3 linked regions of the Bombyx mori genome follow. The protein of the gene in region 2 purifies or fractionates together with the protein of the main gene of each other region. This does not show direct contact. Links are inferred from orthologs where the notes say so. Each region holds a gene or a part of one and is shown on either strand. Other genes may lie near its edges. The genes, in order: exocyst complex component 3, exocyst complex component 2 and exocyst complex component 5.

Evidence for each region.
Region 1: the proteins of exocyst complex component 2 (region 2) and exocyst complex component 3 purify together in Homo sapiens (affinity purification with mass spectrometry; 6 studies listed by BioGRID and IntAct, counting the BioPlex papers as one, with this or other methods). This does not show direct contact. The link is inferred for Bombyx mori from reciprocal best matches to the Homo sapiens genes EXOC2 and EXOC3.
Region 3: the proteins of exocyst complex component 2 (region 2) and exocyst complex component 5 fractionate together in Homo sapiens (co-fractionation; 4 studies listed by BioGRID and IntAct, with this or other methods). This does not show direct contact. The link is inferred for Bombyx mori from reciprocal best matches to the Homo sapiens genes EXOC2 and EXOC5.

Annotation. Positions count from the first base shown.
Region 1 is NC_085118.1:10,563,275-10,567,033, forward strand, and holds the start of exocyst complex component 3, read right to left. Parts: upstream 2,837-3,759; 5' UTR 2,760-2,836; coding exon 2,667-2,759; intron 2,025-2,666; coding exon 1,876-2,024; intron 1-1,875. Other genes in the region: uncharacterized protein LOC101740964, read left to right, coding at 3,179-3,759. UniProt on the Homo sapiens protein: Component of the exocyst complex involved in the docking of exocytic vesicles with fusion sites on the plasma membrane.
Region 2 is NC_085121.1:12,803,106-12,806,764, reverse strand, and holds part of exocyst complex component 2, read right to left. Parts: intron 2,946-3,659; coding exon 2,778-2,945; intron 725-2,777; coding exon 572-724; intron 1-571. UniProt on the Homo sapiens protein: Component of the exocyst complex involved in the docking of exocytic vesicles with fusion sites on the plasma membrane.
Region 3 is NC_085131.1:6,365,830-6,369,488, forward strand, and holds part of exocyst complex component 5, read right to left. Parts: coding exon 3,656-3,659; intron 3,281-3,655; coding exon 3,192-3,280; intron 2,468-3,191; coding exon 2,278-2,467; intron 1,557-2,277; coding exon 1,400-1,556; intron 1-1,399. UniProt on the Homo sapiens protein: Component of the exocyst complex involved in the docking of exocytic vesicles with fusion sites on the plasma membrane.

The sequences.
Region 1 (3,759 bases), on a different chromosome or scaffold from region 2:
CTGATTACGCTTTTGCATCATCAGCTCGTTGAGTTTCTCGCCGGATCTTCTTAGTGGGTCGTGATTCCGATCGGGTAGTAGATTCATTCGCGAAGCAGCTGCTCTTGAGTTGTTAGTTCTTCTTCGGAGGCGCTTGGACGGCTGTTAGCAAATCCCACCCCTCTTGGCTGAGCCTCTGCTACCCCACATGTTCTGGTGAAACTGGAAAGGCCTCCGGGCCACCAGTAACCCTTCAATTCTAAAAAAATATAAAAAAGGCTGGTGTTAATGTGAATGCCACCACCTTGAGACCCGAAATCTAAATCTAAATTGTTCCATATAACGGCTGCTCCACGCTTCAAATCAAACCGCACGGCTGCTTCTCTTCGATGGTGGTACCAACCAGCTCGTACGGGCTTGCCCTACGCCATACCAACCATCCTATCAGTAAATACAAGTTGGCAATCGTAGTCCATTGGTATGATTCTCAGATAACGATGTTGCCCGTTCTCCAGTGTATCATTTAACGTCTTTTACAGGCGTGGAAAGAATGATATTATTGTAGGTCAGGCGTTTGCTTGCTAGGTTGTGCGAAGGTTGTTCGGAACTTCAATTGTTCCAACATATTGCTTCCTCGTCCTTGTTTGAAACATTGATTTCGTTGCATTTTGTCAGAAATCATTAACTTGTATAACAGGCGTGGTAATCAACGTATCTCACCGCAAACTGACCGAGCGAAGCAGTACTCTTTCGTCCCGCGCAAACCCACCCTCGCCCGGGTTCGTCCTATGCCCCATGTTCCCTAGAAACGCTCTTTTGTCGCATTTCACCAAACCCTATATAACTGACTAAACTACAATCGAGGAACCACATAGCCTGCAAGAAGTTACTATGTTCTTTTAATCGATGTTAACTTATTAAAATCATGCCATCAACAAAATGAAAAAATAATGTAAAAGAATAAATGATTTTATGGAAATCTTAATATTATGATTTATATTATATTAATATCGATAAAAATCATTAAGATTACTTATTGTGCATTTGTGATGAAATGATTCATTACGGAAACTAACTAAATGTAAATAATGAATTTTATCGAAATACAATTTTAAGCTATATTATACTACATTGTTTTGATAAAATTAATTAGATGCTGCAAATGAGTTCTGTAATGTAATGTATGCTGTTTTCAAATAATTATCCATTTAATAAAAATAACTAGTGCTGCTTAGTGAACCTTTGTAAATGCCTGACTTCCAAAGTTGCAATTATCAACTTTCTGCCAAAGACGTAACGGCCAAAGTTGGCCAGTTAGAAATTAGTGTGTTTTTGCATTTTGTAGAGTATGCAAAAATGAGCCCATTATAGATAAAAATGCATTTAGTGACTTTTTGCAGTTAATGAGTTCTTGCAATAAGCCGACGATATTATAAAGAAAATACAGCTAAAGACTAGTTGTACTCCTGCCCTCAACACATATTCAACAGTGAGAGAGAGAGAGAGAGAGAGAGAATATACTTTATTGCATACCAAAACACAATTTTCATTCAAAAACAGTCAACAAGCAAATACTTTTGTACAATAGGCGGTCTTATTGGTAAAAGAGATCTCTTCTTGACAACCGTCTAATTTCCAGAAATTTTGAAAAGAATGTGTGAATAATCACTGTAAAATCAATTTTCAGTAATTTTTTTTTTTTTGGTAGTGTAATTATTATTATTTTATACGTAGATGGGTGACCGAGCTTACCCTACCATACCTGGAGTACATCCCAATGTGACTGTTGTCACCCAACATGTCACACACCTATTTGTGAATCCTTCTATTTTCAGTTACTTTAATGAATATTAACAGCTATGAATAAAGTATAAAATATCTACAAATCATACATACTTTTTACTGATTTCTTGCACATCATCAAGACATTCCTGAAGTTGTTTTAACCCGACACTTACTCCATCTAACTTCCCCTGCACTGCAGATTTTAACTGTGCTTCTATGGAAGCCTTTTTGTGTGTGATTCTTTTCTTGTAATGCTCTACCTTAAGTAAAAATAATTTTAATACAAAAGATAACAATTTTGAGTACACATAAAATAGGAAGTAGAACATATAAATCTAATACATTTAAACACAAAATATAGGTCTTTCATCCACTTTTTAAAAGTGAACAATACTGAAGGATTTTGAGGTAAAAAAAAGTATGATAGACATATCAATGTGTAACACACTTTAAAAAAATATGTTTAGATTTATGCATATTTGCTAAGCTATATTACATTTCACATAGGTTTTTCAATGTATTTTTTAAACTGTTAACATTCAATGCTAACATTTTCTGTTCTGTAAAATTTTCTGTTTGAAAATCACTTCTAAATAAACATTTACATCACACATCATTTTAAATAAGACTATAGCAATGATCCACATTAACGCAAACTGGGAAGAGCACAGATGATTGCTTGCACATTTATAACATTAAATAACACTTTCAAAGCCCACAAACTATCAAGTGAGATGCACGTCCTATTTTATTAATTTAGGTATCTATTTTTATTTTACTTTCATATAAGATAAAGAATTAAAACAGAGTTGAAAGTGTTGCCGATAAGACAATCGCAGAATGAGTTAATTATAGTGGGAGGGTTAACATTTTTTTTGCACAGCAGATAGTTTATTGCTTACTTTCTCAAGCTGTCCAGGTCTTTGCATCATGTTCATGACCATTTTTTCTGCAGCTGCTTTAGCTTCTTCCTCTATTTCATCCATGGAACTCATGATGTAAACAAGATTTGCTGTTTACAGTGTTTACACAAATACAAATTTAGAAAATTTTATTAGTTTTATTTTTCCAACTGGAAAGGCAAAGGTGTTATACCATACAATCTAATCTTTTGTATATATATACATTTTATTTAATATATGAAAAGCTATAATATGAAATGAAATGAAGTTGATTAGAAACATGGTATGAAATGAGATAAGATAAGATGAGACGAGACGAGACGAGATATAATCTCGGTAAAATAGTAGTCATTTACTGAGACTTTTTCAGTGGATTTTTTGGAGGATCCCAAGTTACATCTAACGGCTTTGTTTTATTCTCCCACTGTTGTAACCTTCTTTTCTATATTCCATTATTTTGAAATATACTTCGAACACATTGTCATTTTTACCACCTATCATTATTATATTTTATGCTATGTCTTGAAAACATTGTTTTATTATATTGGCGACGAGTTAAAAAAAAAATTAAGATGAACGATGAACAATTCGCATTATTTTTACATGCACAACAAAATCAGCAAGAACAGATTTTACAAATCTTGAAGTTGTTGGTACCAGCAGCTTGCAATACAACAGCCAAGAGCGTGACGAACGACTCTTTTACAAAACATGATACGGATAACAAGATAAGTATAATCAAACATTTCAATATGGATAAATACAATCCAGATACATTCAGAATTGACGATTACATTGATTTTTTCGAAAACAAATGCAAAATTCTTGATATCGATAACAGCGACTTACAGAAAGATTTGCTTCTGAATTTACTAACACCAGAGATATTCCACGAATTAAAAGTAGCTTTAACGCCTGATTTCGATATAGCTACATACAGCGAAATTTGTAACAAATTATTAGACCTCTATCGCATAAAAACGACGAGGTATAGAGCCTTAACAGAATTTTGGAATTGCACTAGAGAACAAAATGAAACGATGGAACACTATGCAAACAGATTAAAAGGTCTTAGTCGGGATTGTGGCTACAC
Region 2 (3,659 bases):
TTCAGTTTTTACTAGCGTGTAACATGTACGTCGTAGACAATATGGCGGGGGAGTCATAGAGTATGTTTCGTAGAGTGGTCAGCAAAGATTAATGTTATGAGAATCGACATTAGGTCGCATATACGTTACAAATTGCACACATGTATTTTTTTTTCTTGTTAGTGTAAAGAGACACAGTGGAACTTACAGATCACCTAGTACGTAGCGGTTACTAAAGCACACAGACGCAACAGCGCGAATGCCGTCTCCATGCTTGGAGCAAAGGTATCGGTAGTTAAACAAACTACTACTACTTTACTGGTGGTAGGACCTCTTGTGAGTCCGCACGGGTAGGTACCGCCACCCCACCTATTTCTGCCGTGAAGCAGTACCGCGTTTCGGTTTGAAGGGTGCGACAGCCGTTGTAACTATACTGAGACCTTAGAACTTATATCTCAAGGCGAGTGGCGCATTTACGTTGTAGTTGTCTATAGGCTCCAGTAACCATTTAACACCGGGTGGGCTGTGAGCTCGTTCACCCATTTAAACAATAAAAAAAAATTTAAAAAATCCAAATTTCGTAACTCCTAACCAGTTTAGTGATGGCTCCATATTCGGTGAACTCTTCGATCTTCCAGGTTTCCTTGTCAGCGAGACCTTTAACCCTCTTGAGAGCTCGCTGAAGGAACACGACCATGCCGTGCACGCGGTAGTCGTATATCACGCGCTCCACTATGCTCAGTGGCTGTAATTAAATAAACCCCGGTTACAATTATTTAATCAAAACTGAACCGGACAATCATATCTTACCACACTATTTTAAGGACTGGACAAATGTTGGCCATATAACTCCGACCCTTGAGGATCTTTACTCTTTATTCCCAACCATGGCTCGCATCAGAACCGTTTGTCTGGACACACATTTTTTTATCCTTTACTAGCGACCCGCCCTCGCTTCGCTTCGGAAACTGTAATTTATTATTGATTTCTCCACTATTTAATGGATATTATTATACATAGAAACCTTCCTCTTCAATCGCTCTATCCAACTCCAAAAAACGTATCAAAATCCGTTGCGTAGTTTTAAAGATTTAAGCATACATAGGGATATAGGGACAGAGAAAGCGACTTTATTTTATACTATGTAGTGATTTAAATTTTTTTTAGAGAAAAAAAAAACCATATCATTTTGTTAGTAAGAATTACTTATAATCTATGTTAGTAACTTAAAAATCTAACACATAACTATCAGACATACATTATAAATATCATTACAATTTTTTCCTTCCAAACATGTACATTGCATTGATAAAGTACATGTTCTCGTATTTCCGTGATTTCCATACAGAAATCCCAAATCGTATTATCATCAGATTTCATTTTGTATAGTTTCCGCTACCACTTTTTTTTTTATTGCTTTGGCTGGTGGACGAGTTCACAGCCCACCTGTTGTTAAGGGGTTACCGGAGCCCATAGACATCTATAACGTAAATGCCGCCACCCACCTTAAGACATGAATTCTAAGGTCTGAGTATAGTTACAACGGCTGTATATAGGCAGGGCGGTGGTGCCTACCCGTGCGGACAAGCCTACCACCATTAAAGTGTTGATATTCAAAATGTAACACCGCTATTACGCACATATCTAATGTTCAGGCACCTTAGATAAGAGGGAATAGGGGCTAGCGGTAGAATAGGGACAAAAATCTGGGTTGTCAAAATGCTTTTGTGAGATTTGAATTTGTTGAATTTAAAAGGGCTTTTTTTAGTGTTTATGAATATTAAATAGTTTAATTTAGTCATCAGAGTGTTGTAACTGATTGATTAAAGATATTGAAAAGTTAATCACCTAAAGGTAAGTACCTACCTAACAACTAATCAGTGTCAGCCCTATCGAAAAACTCTATTGACCCCATACGTGATCCGATTCACTCCAAAAACCAAGGTGGATCAGGTCAAGCTCGTTTTTTAAGTTTTTGTTTATATTTTTCAATGAATTATGTATAATAATGCATCATATATGAAAATTTCAACCTCCGGACGGTTTTAATCTCAATTTTATTGGTATTACTCTAAGAAAAGCCAATGAAAATTTGTGTTGGAATTGGAAAGCGTCCCGATTCCGTCTAACCTACTGTACGTAAAGATTAAAGGACTTTCATTGGTACAACATTTATGACCCTAACCCACGCATCAGCCCGCTGAGTTTCTCGCCGGATCTTCTCAGCGGGTCGTGATTCCGATTCGGTAGTAGATTCATTCGCGAAGCAGCTACTCTTGAGTTGTTAGGTCTTCTTCGGAAGCGCTCGGGCAGCTGTTAGCAAGTCCCACCCCTCCTGGCTGAGCGTTTGCTCGCCCACATGTCCTGGTGAAACTGGAAAGGCCTACGTGTCACCAGTAACACTTCAATCATAAAAAAAACACATTTCGCTTTTTCGCATTAAAAGTGTACAATTTCCAAAAATATTCGAAATTGAGTTAATATGCGTAAACATTTGGTATCACCAGTATTTTTCCCATAAATACTCTCAAAAGAGGGTAGTTTAGTTTTAGTTTTTTTTTAGTTTACCTACGTTTTGACTACTATTAACAAAATTAATACATAATTTTATCTTACTTTAAGACAGATAATCTAACTGGTAAAAAATAAAAAGTAAATGTTGCAAAGATGATTAATATTAAAGATATTACATGTTAAACCTTTAAAACGCTCTCCTGTAGAATGAGTAAGTTTTGAGATTATACAGTTTTAATGCGAGAAGACGACTTGTGACTTGAGAAGCTCAAGCCTGTAGGTACCTGTGAGGGCAGATCCAATTTCAGCAGAGACTCGTACGCCTCCCTGAGGTGCCGCAGATTGGCAACGAGCCGGGCCCGCGCCGCGTCCGCGGAAGTGACGCCGCCGCCCGACAGCAGACAGGCGCGCATATGCTCCGAAAATAATTCGACACCAGCTATTATCATTTCCTGGAAAATGTTTAAAAAAAAATGAGTAATTTAAATGTGCAAATTGGGGTTTGAGACGATTGCAACATTAACATCAAATAACAGAAGCCAATGTTAATATTAGAAAAAATTAAGCTGATATATTTGTGCAAAGACAGACAGTTAAGTTGCCATTTTCTGCTGTGGTCAAAGGATTCTTTTTTATTGCCCTTGTAGGCAGATGAGCATATGGCCCACCTGATGGTGTGTGATTACCGTCACACATGAACTTCAGCAATGCTAGGGGCAGAACCAAGCCGCTGCCTACCGAATTAACAAGTAAGCATCAGTGAAATCAAATCTTTATATAATTAATCAAGTAATATCTATAAAAAGATAAAAAATTATAATAAGTATTAAATATATGACGACCGGCTATGTTAAGTATAAATAATAGTTTAAAAAATAGTGTAAGAAAAAATGGTGCTTCTCAGGATATTATCAAAATAACCCTTCTACTCATATCTGTTCATAAAATATTTATAGCTACTGATACCATGCACCCCACGCTTTTTTTTACAATAAAATCATTTTTTCTTACATTATTTTTAATTCAAATTTATTAAAATTTATTTTCTATTTTTTGGTTGGATTTTCTATAAAAGCGTATTTTGTTAGTTTTTTTAAGCTATTATTTATATTTCCTTGTTTACTTGATTTTCAATTTTTTCATATATTTTTTTCAATTATACTTTT
Region 3 (3,659 bases), on a different chromosome or scaffold from region 2:
GTGTCTATGGGTTAGTTCGCTCGTCGAGGCTTTCGTCGCAAGCGACGGGTTCGACAAGAACAGTGACCGGATGAGGACGTTGACCGGTGGATGGTTCGATAAGCTCATGATCCACCTGATGTTAATTAGTTACGAGAGCCCATAGACATCTACAACGTAAATGCTGCCACATAGCTTAAGCCAAGAGTTCTAAGGTCTCAATATTAACAGTACAGCGGCTGCCCCGCCCTTCAAACCGAAACGCATTACTGCTTCACGGCAGTAATAGGCAGGGTGGTGGAACCTACTCGTGCGGACTCACAATACGTACCTACCTTGATATAATTTTTAATTAGATCTAAGTACGACGACTCCATTTTCAACTCAACGTGATTATTCGCTGAAAAGAAGCTGATAGCCTTGAGTACGAAAATTGGCAACACCGAGCTATACATATATACTTTTTAGAACATGTTGTTTTAACAGACAGTAAAGCCGCTTTCAGGCAACGCTATTATATAATAGCATATAGTATATAGCTCATAGCACAACAACATCGCACACCATACATTGTTATGGACACGTTCACACTGTACTCTACCATATATTATTGGCTAAGTATAGGCTGCTATATATACTATACTAGCCGCACTCGCCTGCTTCGCTGGGCATTTAAAATTAACATTATTATTTACTGTCATTATTATTAGGGAGTCCAACACTGATATAAATATTAGTCTATCCATTAAGTACATGTATTTTCTACATGGATACCGAGTTTCAGGTCAAGTAATGAATAAGATTTTAAATAAATATAAGTAAACTAGCTGACCCGGCAGACTTCGTAGTGCCTCAATCGATAAATAAAATACCTAAACTTTTGTATAAAATAAACTTAAAACAAACAAAAGGAATCCGTCCAACGGGAGACAAATCAAAGGGAAAACAAAATTGTTATTTTTATTTAAATCCGAGCATTTTCATATTTATCTAACTTTCGAACCTTCTCTGGACTACCACGAATAATTCAAGACCAAAATTAGCCAAATCGGTCAGGCCGTTCTCGAGTTTTAGCGAGACTAACGAACAGCAATTCATTTTTATATATAGAGAAGATAATAATAATATAACAATAAGTCATTTATTTCTTGCTTTTACAAAGTTTAAAATTAATAATAAATATAAATGTATATATTAATATTTAGGATGCAAAAGAGAGTTTTGTAATGAAACAGTTGTTGTAAACTTTAGTTAGAAAGAACCTCGGATTGGGTAAAGGCCTCCTCCAAGTATATTTATATATTAGTATAAATATAGATGACACTATAGTATAGCGTAGTCTGAAAGCAGCTTAAAACAAAAACAAGAAAACACCACAGTCAATCCATTCGCAGTCACAGTGGAATCACATGAACCATACCTGCCGAATTAAACTGGAAGTTATGCAGGTGTTCGTATATAACCCTGTGCAGTCTCACGGCCAGCTCCAACGAGATGGAATTTCTATTGTCGTCTTCCAAACCATCGTGTATTTTATCCATTACCGAATTCAAATAGGACACCACTGCTAGGCAAGCCTGCGGAAGATATTTAGATTTTTAATTGTTTTATATATGGTGTTGGAGAAGCGCATGAAAAAGTGATTATGGTTTTACAATGTTTTTGTTTTTTTTTTTGCTTTGATGGGTGGACGAGCTCACAGCTTCCTGGTGTTAAGTGGTTACTGGAGCCCATAGACATTTACAACGTAAATGCGCCACCCACCTTGAGATATAAGTTCTAAGGTCTCAAGTATAGTTACAACGGCTGCCCCACCCTTCAAACCGAAACGAATTACTGCTTCACGGCAGAAATAGGCGGGGTGGTGGTACCTAACCGCGCAAATTATACTTTTGCGGGTTTGATTTTTATTACACGATGTTATTCCTTCACCGTGGAAGTCAATCGTGAACATTTATTGAGTACGTATTTCATTAGAAAAATTGGTACCCGCCTGAGATTCGAGCACCGGTGCATCGCTCGACACGAATGCACCGGACGTTTTATCCTTTAGGCCACGACGTATTATTAGCATAATTCAAACTCCATCGTATAACTACAGCTAAATTAATAAATAATCAGTAAAAAGTGTTAAATAATCGCAAGATTATTTTAATTTAAATATAACTTGAATATTAGTCTCGTTTTTTTTATATATTTCGTCGCCCGTAAACTATAAGAATGTCACGAACCAATTTGCCGATCTATACATACATACGATACCGACGTTGTCCGAAGGGTTTTAATAAAAAATCTTACTGGTGACGCTATAGTATCGATGTCCCCTTCCGGTTTGAAGTCAGTCTTCTTTTGTTCGGTCTGCAGATGCAGCTTCACCCAGCTCACTATAGCCGATATAGCACGTTCCAAGCCAGCGTCAAGTTTGCTCTCGAGTTGGTCCATTATAGCGGTCTTCTTGTGTAAACATTCTGTTTGTTTCGACGATGAGCTGTAAATTGTAGTTTTTTTATAACCTATTTTTACATCCAAATTTTCAGTTCTGACACGGTGTAGTGTGAGCCCATATGCATACAACGACCACTTATATATCTCCCGCAAGGTAATTGTTCTCAAGAAAATTGTGATTGAATCATTAGTGTCGTGTTGTTATAATCAATTATGCTCTCTTATCGATAAAGAAGGGAAACTGAAATATTTGATGAAGACACCACACCCTCTGTATTGCACGCAATGTATAACACTTAAAAACAGTAAACACGCGAAGTCAACGACCTCGTTCGATGCATTGACTCTTCCGTTTAGACAGCGGGCTCACGAAACATGAACTTCCTGAATACTCGTCGTATTAGACAGCAGCTTGGTTCTGCCCCTGGCATTGTTGAAGTCCATGGACAACGGTAACCACTCACCTTCAGGTGGGCCGTATGCTCGTCTGCCTACAAGGGCAATAAAAAAAAATATGCTTTTATCAAATTTGACAAAAAAATATTTTTCAAATAAGATTTAAACGTGATTTTGAGCAAATAAATAAATGTGCGAAATTGATCAGTTGTTGATTAATTGTAATATGGGCGCTGGTTCAGCATCATACTTGCTGTATAACTATCAATGGTATGTGCTTGCCACTAATGATCAACACTCAAAGTAATATAGAACATAAGCATAATACAATTCATTTGATATATTACAATCAATCTTTACAAAACACTAACCTTATACAAGGTAAAATCGACTCCTGGAAATGTTCCTCGAACATTCTCACAATTACATTAGCTTGTTTTACAGTATCAAAGAAATATATCTGAAATTAAATTATTTATTAAAAATAAACAAACCAATTATTATTATTCATTGTTCTCTGCATTTATTTTGGAAAAGAGTATATCAACAATCAACAAGGCCTTCTACTCTGTAAAGCTGTTACTTTAATTCAATTGAAACATCACAGTCATGAGTCAAAGACAGCTGAGGTGTCTGTAAATACCTCAACTTAAACGTTGAGGTATTTACAGACACCAGTGATCACTAAATTCCAAGTCTATGGATCTAATATAATGAATATATAATAATGTTATAACTCAACCAAAACCATACTTTAAGTAATGACAATAAAGACTCAAACTATTATTTATTCATCATGAATACTTTGCTGCCAGAATGTAAAAAATCTACGAACCTGA